Canis lupus familiaris: one gene and its partner. The protein of the gene in region 2 interacts with the protein of the main gene of each other region in a pairwise test. Links are inferred from orthologs where the notes say so. Each region holds a gene or a part of one and is shown on either strand. Other genes may lie near its edges.

What was found.
Region 1: the proteins of TRIM21 (region 2) and TXN2 interact in binary tests that used the Homo sapiens proteins (3 or more experiments, as listed by UniProt). The two-hybrid records come from large-scale screens. The link is inferred for Canis lupus familiaris from reciprocal best matches to the Homo sapiens genes TRIM21 and TXN2.

The regions. Positions count from the first base shown.
Region 1 is NC_049231.1:28,946,573-28,951,035, forward strand, and holds the start of TXN2 (thioredoxin, mitochondrial), read left to right. Parts: upstream 1-1,578; 5' UTR 1,579-1,735; intron 1,736-2,501; coding exon 2,502-2,755; intron 2,756-4,463.
Region 2 is NC_049242.1:26,906,941-26,911,288, forward strand, and holds the start of TRIM21 (E3 ubiquitin-protein ligase TRIM21), read right to left. Parts: upstream 2,818-4,348; 5' UTR 2,699-2,817; intron 1,687-2,698; 5' UTR 1,640-1,686; coding exon 1,232-1,639; intron 745-1,231; coding exon 619-744; intron 1-618. UniProt on the Homo sapiens protein: E3 ubiquitin-protein ligase whose activity is dependent on E2 enzymes, UBE2D1, UBE2D2, UBE2E1 and UBE2E2.

The DNA of each region.
Region 1 (4,463 bases), on a different chromosome or scaffold from region 2:
TTAACATTTTTTTAAAATATTAGTAATAAAGACAGTGGAAACAAAGAAAGAGACAGTAACCGCAGCGTGTTGAGTGTGATGATTGATAAGGTGCACAGGGGCTAGGGAAGCTTGGAGAAGAGCATCTCTCCCGCTCAAGGAGGCTCAGGGAAGGGTCTCCAAAGATGATGCTCGTCCGGCATCTGGTGGCATTTTCTCCCATGGAGAGTACAGGGAATCCCCTTCCAGCCGTCGCAGCAACTGCAACATTCAGGGACAGGAGAGACATTTAAGCAAACCCTGGAGCTCTAAGGGGTTCCCACTGGAGGTGTGAGACGGGGCTCTGCCTATTCTCCTGCCCCCTGACTTTGGACAAGTCCGTAACCTTTCTGTAAACCTTTCCCTGAGATTCTGTTTACTAAGCTTCTCGGGAACATCCCCTGTGAGCCAGGCACTGTATCAGATTGCGGGGCTCGGGGAGTCAAGTAAGAGCCACGAACTCCTACTGTCAGGAAGCCTGTGGTCTGGGGGAAGAGATGGCACCAAGGACGGATACGCGAGAGTCAGGAACAAAGCCCTAAAACGAGGAGGCAAGTAACGCTGCTCAAAGAAGTGATGATGAGTAGGTGTTCCACCCAGTGGAGAGAGAAAAAAGGCATCTCTTCTTCCTCTTTTTAAAGTTCTTATTTCTTTTTGCCAGAGCACAGGCAGGGAAGCGGACTGGACTCCGGGCCGGGCAGGAAGCCGGAGGCGGGACTCGACCCCAGGACCCTGAGATCGTGTCCTGAGCCCCAGGCCGACCCTAGCCGCCCGAGCCACCGGGCGCCCCCGCAAAGGCAGTTCGGGTTAAGCAGTCAGGGAAGGAAAAGGCAGTGATGGTCCTAGATCGGCGAGGCCTCGCGGGGTGGCGATGTCGGGGTCCGGCGGGGTCCACCGCAGCGACGGCGGGTGCGGGGAAGGCGGGGCCGCAGCGAGTCCCCGGGGCCGCGTGGCCCTCCCCGCACCACCGCCACCGCCTGGCCCCCTGGACAGACCCGGGCCCCAGCGACTCCCAGAGACCGGCTGGAGGCAAGCCCAGCTGGCCAGGTCACCGACTGGGCACAGCGGCCCCGCCAGGGCCCCCGCCAGGGCGGCTGCCCGAAACCTCGGGGTCGTGCCGGAGCATCCTCCTTCCTCGGGGTCTTTAGCCCGCAGCCAGCACTCCGCCTCCGGAACCGAGCCTGCCTTCCCCGGAACGGGGCGGGGGTCCTCGGCTCCTCCAGTTTCCGGAGGGCACCGAGGCAGAGGGGGGCGGCCCAGGAGCTGCAGCGCCCGGGGCCACGCCCCCTCCCGCCCTTTCCGCTCGTGGACTCCTCCCCCGCCCCCTCTTCCGGACCCTCCTCTAGGACCCGCCCGCCTTTTCCGGCCCCGCCCCCGAGGGCCACCCCTCTTCCGGGCGCCCGAGGGCCCGCCCCTTCTTCCGGTCCTTCCCCCTGCGAACCCGCCTCCTCTTCCGTTTTCTCTTCCCCTCCCCCACCAGAAGCCCGTCTTCCGGTCCCTAACTGAGGCTCCACCCCTTCCGCTGTGCCGTCTCCCGCCATCCCCATTGGTGGGAAATCCAAGCCACCCCTCAAGCTGCGGAGAGAAGCGTTCCGGGTTGCCTGTCCCCGGAAGTGACGTTCGAAAGGCCCTCCCCCCGGAAGTGACGAAGGGCGTGCCCTTGACTGGCGGGGAGGGCCGGGCAGTGAGTGCATCCCTCCGCTCGGGCTGCAGGGAGGTAGGAGGCTCGTGGGGGTGGCTCGAGGCGGTGTCGCGGCGGAGACACGCTCCGGGCCTTCTCCTCCGCTGGCCGGCGGCCGAGCGGGCGGAGGCCCCGGGCGGCGGGGGGACCTGCCCCCCGCGGAGCCGGGATCCCCGGTGGCGTCGGACTCAGTCCGTCAGACACGTCCCTTGGTTTTTAGGACCCCACACTCCCTCCTGTTGCCGAGCCCCTTCGTTCCCCTCGAGCTGTTGCGATTCCTCTTCTGATCCTTGGACAACCCCCTTTCCCCTTAATTTCCCGTCAGAAGGCCTCCTAAACGAGTGATAGAGAGTTGCAGACGGCCTTGGGTTCCAGTGTTGACGCTCCTTTAGTAGTTGGGTTGGTTGCGCGCGCAGCCCGGGCTCGTCGCCGGGGTAGGGCCCGGCTGCCCGCGGGTGACCCCGGGGGACGGGCGCGCGGGCGCGGGAGGGCGCGGCTGCCCTTGCCCCAGCAGGGGCTCCACCAGCGGAGCTCCCGCCCTCCCTTCTGATCCAGTCCCGTCCATATCCCGACTGCTTTTTGATTGCCAGCCCAGTGTTCCTGTCCTGGTGTAGGATTGCTTCTGCTTTTTGATTCTGATGCTTCGCTTAACCTCTACTCTCAAAATCTTATATGTCATTTCTTGGCATTTTTGTTCAGGCCCGGAAATCCTGAGGCGCCCCTCTCCCCCCAGGACCACCCAAATAACCTTTCTTTTCCTGGTGAATTGGCTTCCCGAACTTTCTGCCTTTCCCCCTCACAGATGGCTCAGCGACTTCTCCTGAGGAGGTTCCTGGCCTCCGTCATCTCCAGGAAGCCCCCTCAGGGTCGATGGGCACCTCTCACCTGCAGGGCCCTGCCGTGCAGCCCTGGTCACCTGACAGCAACACCCACCCAAGCCCGGTCAATATACACCACCAGAGTCTGCACAACGACCTTCAACATCCAGGATGGACCTGACTTTCAAGACCGAGTTGTCAACAGCGAAACACCAGTGGTTGTGGACTTCCATGCACAGTGAGTCCTGGGGGTCAGCAGAAGAACGTGGTGCTACTTGTTCAGGAATTTGAGTAGGGACACCTGGGTGGCTCAGTGGTTGAGCATCCGCCTTCGGCTCAGGTCGTGATCCTAGGTCCTGGGATGGAGTCTCCCTGTGAGGAGCCTGCTTCTCCCTCTGTCTGTGTCTCTGCTTCTGTCTTTGTCTCTCATGAATAAATAATTAAATCTTAAAAAAAAAAAAAGTGATTTATTGAGTAGCTGTCATGTCTCAGTCCCACGTCTGATGCTTCACGTGCATAGTCTCATTACAAAGACGGGTAAGACCCAGTCCTGGCTCTCAGAGATGGAGTGTAGTCTGATAGGACACAGACCAGTCAACAGTCTTTAGAGCTCACTGTCACTGGAGCAAGCTGAGAAACACTCATGTTCTGTGTCTTGCTGCCCAAATGGCTGAGAGTCCCCATTCAGCTTGGACCAAAGCAAGAAAAATAGGACTAACTATCTCATTTTCTGGCTTTGGGTGTATACCAGTTCCTGACCCTGCGGATGAGTTGATTTTTAACATCTTGCCACCAAAACTGGGAAGGGCTGGCAAAAAGTTATCAGTGGCACCACAGTGGTGCCCAAGCACGCAGGGGATGGGCAGGGTTTTCTTTTCAGTGCTGTATGTAAGTTTGTTGTAGGGGTAGTTCAATGCTTCTAGCCACCTGATTGTTAGCTTGGCCTTTTTCATTTCTGGACTTTGGGTCCCGACTAGCCACCTAGCTACAAAAGAACTTGGACAAACCCCTCAGATTGAGGCATCCTGGTGTAGCCTGGGTTAGACGTTGGGAGGCCTTCTGGGCAAATCTCTGACAGATTGTTTTGCTTTCTTTCCTGTTCTTTCTCTCACTCACCATGTTGCCTTGGGCTGGCCATTGATGTCCTCATGCCTCCCTTTCTTCACTTATAATAGGAGATGAGGTGTTGCAAACTTGTGAGTTCATTAATTGAAATCTCTAAATGTAAAGCGTTTTAAAGGCTGAGACTAAAATAACCATCATGGGCCAGGGGTTCATGGCAGGCAGAGCCTTCTCCCATCGTGGTATAGTGAGCACTCCAGAGAGGACTTCCAAAATGAATGATAAATGGGATTATGCCTCATTTTCTTCTCTGACAAAGTAAGATGTGAGTTTGTTCATTCAGTGCCCGGCACTATCCATACCACCTGTCCTCACAGGGCTCACCACCCAGAGGGGAGCACCTGTGATCGGTGCAGTGCTAACAGCTGACCCAGGGCCTGGGGGAGGACACAGGATAACCCAGTGATGAAAGAAGACATTTGGAACGCAACACCAGCCTCTAACCAGCTCTGGGACCTTGCCATGAGTTCCTTAACTTGTAGGATCCTTCATTTCTTAGGAAGGTGTTTTCCTTTGTGGGGTTGAGGGTTCTGGGCAGTAAAAGGTGAGAAGGTCCCAGCATAGCGACGAGCATGTTGTAGACTCCCCCTGGCACTGGCTTCTCCCTGTAGTTCTGGGTCCATGAGGTTGTCTGAAATAACTCCACAGCCTCATCACTGCTTTGAGAGACATAATCTCATTTATTCAAAAGAGGAAACTGAGACTCTAGAACAGTCAGCTGGTTGGTGAGGAGTCCCTTTTGGAACCCAAACCTTTTAACTTCAACTTTCATATTTTTCTGTGCGGTGGTGTATTTCTCTTACGCGTGCTGAAATAACCTTTAT
Region 2 (4,348 bases):
CTGAGGAAAAGGAGTTTTGGGGATAATCTTGGCTGCTCTTCTGTTAGTGACTGGAAGGTCACCGATGGCACAGGATGAGTCCTTTTGCCACCACAGCCTGACTCACCCTTCTCTGATCCCAAATCTTCCTTTCTGGGCTCTATTGGCCATGAGTTCCCTCCATGCCCTTATAGATACAGAACAAGCTTTATTCTCCATCCTACTTTGGACCAGTGATCTGAACACAGTCAGAAAAACCAGCATGACCAGATAGTTGCCTATGTCTGACCTGGATTGTTCCCTTAAGTCTGTACCTCCTGACAGGCCTAGCCATTGGGCATCTCTCCTGAGAGACCACTGACCAGACATGGAGGCAAAGGTGCCGTCATGTTTTAAGACTAGGCTTAAGGAGCAGGAGCTTTAGGGTATGGCTTGTACCTCTCCGAAGGGTATGGCACCTTCTCCTAAGACTCTTGATTTTGCTATCTGATCTGAGCTCTCTCCTTTTTATTCACCTCTATCAAGAGACCTAGAGGACAGCTGGTTCATGGTGAGTGAGATATATTATCACTCCTCAGATGGGCATAGCTATGCTTAGGGTTTGAGTCTGGGGCCCTGGACTCTGCCCTGGCTTCTGACCTGAGATTCCCTTTGGAGCACAACACTTGCCTTCCAGGCTGCTCTCTTCATTGCAGTATTCACTTCCAACTCCTCAGCCAACTTTTGTTCTTTTCTCAGTTTCCTTAATGCCACCTTAAGCTTCTCCTGCAGAGAAAGGTAGGTTAGCGCCCGACCAGTCCAAGAAGTAGGGTGAGGCGCCATGAAGACATGCTGGTTCTTTGAAAAACTTGAGTGCAGAGAAAGAGGGAAGACTACAGTCTGATTGGGATAGAGATTCTGGGGATGGGAAGACTTTGGCAAGAGCCTGAGGTTTCTTTCAAAACACAGCCACGCTGTTGGAGGTGGTGGTGTGGAGTTGGAGCATTCCTCATTCCTAATTAACCAGAAGGCCACAAGGAAGTGTGATCCTTGCAGCGTTTTCCCAAGCGTACTCCCTGGTCCTGGGGAATGAGAAAGCTGTCCTGAGCTTGCAGTTCTCTGCTTCAATTAGACCTGGAAGGTGGGAAACCCCTTCCTTTTCCCAACCCTGAAACTCCACAGGTGACTTTGCCTCCCTCACTCTGGAGAACAAAACCCCAAGCACGGACCCAGCTCCCTTCTACTTGGTCAGGCCTCTGTGCTAAGTCCTTACCTGGTATTCCTGAGCAGCCTCCTCGACAGGGACCGTTTTGTGGTTACGGTGGTTCTGGGACTGGGAACATACCCAGCAGAGGATCTTCCCATCTTCCTCACAGAACAGGTGCAGTCTCTCTCCATGTACCTGACACCATTCCCTCTGTGTGACTTCATTGGCATTCTGGCCAATTTGTTTAAGGTTGTCCACCACGTTAGCCAGTGGCCAATTGGGCCGGAGGTTTCGGAGCAAGAAGGTGTGCTGACACACAGGACAGACGCCGCCACCATCTTTCCCCACCTCAGAGATGCATTTGTGGCAGAAGCTGTGGCCACAGTCAATGCTCATAGGCTCCACTACAGGATCCAGGCAGATAGGGCATGTGACCTCCTCCCACATCATTGCCAAGGGCATTGCTGCAGCCATAGGGGTGATGTTCTTAGTAAGCAGCACTGTGGAGATCCTGGGGTACCCTGGTGGGGAGAGGAGAGAGGGAAATGAGCAGAAGAGAAGGGTTGTGTGAGAAGAAAAACAATCCAAAGGAAAACACAAGGAACAGTGAAGTGGAAGGGGTGAAAACAACACCAGAACATTAACTTGAATAATAAGAGCTTCTCCTCTCTAGTCTCATCCACTTACCTAGTCAGACAGAAGGGGAAACTGAGTCCCCCAAAGAAACTGAATGTTGTTGAGAACTTCAGAGATAAAGCTGTTTATAACTCTATTTTCATCATGGCCCTCTCTGCTTCATCCTCTGTCCCAGGCTTTTCCTGTCCACTCTCTGCCCTCTCAGGTCACCAGTCCGCTGCTGAGCAGCTCATCTGTATGACAGGGACCATGTACTCTGTACACTCCATAAGCCAGAGAAGGTGCTACCTGCTTTGGAAATATCTTCATTATCTGCACAATAATCACAGGAGTTACTTCTATATCTGTGATTATATACATAAGAATATATTTCTACATATCTGTCTGTATGTATATATACCTGCAGGTATATGTGTGCATATGGGTACCTGTATATGTTTATATGCGCACATGAACAGTGCCTGAGCACTCCCTGGGCTCTCCTCTCCCTTCTGGGAACCTGGTAGCTGGCTTCATTGCCTCTGGGGCACAGACCCACAGGTTTCTAGCGTCTGAAACTGTCCTGCCCCCTCTCACCCCCAGAGGAGAAGTGTCGAGGGGAGTGCCCGGACTACACTCCGGGCTGGGCTAGGTTTCTGCCCCGGTGCCCCCCGCTTAGGGCAGCGCCCCCGGGGGCTTGGGTGTCACGTTCACATTTGGGGCCCCGTCCCAGGCAGGCTGCCAGCCCGGGAGGAACTGCTGGGGCTGGGGCTGGGACTGGGGCTGGGACTGGGGCTGGGGCTGGGCTAGCCCTGGGGGAACCGGGTCTGCAGGCCCCAGGGGCGAGGACTAGATGGGGCAGGGGAGAGAGGTCCCCCAGCCAGGGCGGGGGCACTCGGGTCGGGGCGAGTCACTCACCTTTTCAGGGCTTTCGGCAGCCGGCGGCAGGCTCCCTATTTCACTTTCGATTTCCCGTCGAGGCGTGTCCGAAGGGGGTGGGCCGAGGGGCGGGGAGTGGGAGGAGAGGGAGGCGCGAGGGGCGGGGGAGCAGGCGGGGCAGCTCGGGAGCCCCAGGCGGCAGGAAGTCCGAGCTCCGCAGCGTCAAGTCCTTGCTTCGCGTCCCCTCCCAGGTCCTCGGGGTCAAACAAGAAAATATCGCATCCACGGTGGAGGGGTCACGCTGCCTCCTCGGACACTGGTCGTCTCGCTCCACACCTACGTGCTGGGCGACGCCCACGAGTGGGAGCTGCTCTCAGGGAGTTAGGGAGGGTGGGATGGCGACAACGTGCCTGGGGCTCTCCCTTACGTGTCACCCTCTGCTTCCAGAAACAAGTCCTTTTCAGGAAAGGCTTGATAGTCTTTTAACATCAGCTGGTGAGGGATTTATGTACAGCACGATCCCAAGGCAGGTGTCATACCAGTGAATGGTAAGAAGAGAATTGACATTTATTAGGCACCAACGGTGTACTTGTCACTGAGCTAGGGATTTTCTGAGGTTTTCTTTTTTTTTTTTTTTAAATTATGGTAAAACATATGTAACAAAATTTACCATTGTAACAATTTTTAAGTATATAGTTCAGTGGCATTAAATGCATTCACATCATTGTATCCCCATCCGCACCACTCATACGACTTGTTTCATCTTGCCAAACTGAAATTCTGTTGCCTGTTAAACAGTATGTTCCCTCAGCACCCAGCAGCTACATTCAATTTTCTGTCTCTACGAATTTGACTTCTTTAGGTGCCCCCAACGTAAGTGGAATCATATAGTATTTGTTGTTTTGTGACTTATTTCACTTAAAAGGTCCTCAAGGTTCATCCATGTTGTACAAGCATGTGACAGGGTTTCCTTCCTTTTAAAGGCTGGATAATGTTCCAGTGTTTGTATATGCATTTTGTTTATCCACTCATCTGTGAATGGACACTTGGGTGACTTCCATCTTTTGACTCTTGTGAATACTGTTACTGTGTCAGGTTACATATTTAAGCCACATAACGATTTAGTGATTTAGGAGATGTTAAACTCACATTCCAGGAGAGGGCATTGAGTCTGAATGGAGTAAAATGACTTGAGACATAGTAAGAGGTGCATGAGAGTTAAAGGTCTAGGGAAGACCGTCATTTTAGTGACAGCCCAGAGATAACAGGCTGCCCTGTCAACTCAAGCAGAGACTGTGAGGAGGAAGGAGAAACAAGGAAGGGTGAGGAGACTAGAATTCTCAATTCCTTCCGACTCAGACATATTTATTTTTGTCCCTGTATACCTTAAGATAAAAACATCAGTTGAACTTTGCTTAATGTTTTCTATAGATTTAGGAAACCTAAAGATACTTCATCTTTCTTTCAAATTTCCAGTTCTGTTTTTAAGAGAATTTGTAAGTGGGTGGTTATCAAGTGACCTCTAATATTCAAATTGTATCACTGTACTGATTTGATTCCAGGAACATAGTCCCAGAAAGCAAAGTGGAAACAGTACAAAAAAAAATCAAAGGAAGAAGAGACCTATATATGAATTTGCAGACACTCAGAAAATGAGTCTGCTTCACATCACTACCCTCGCTCATTCCT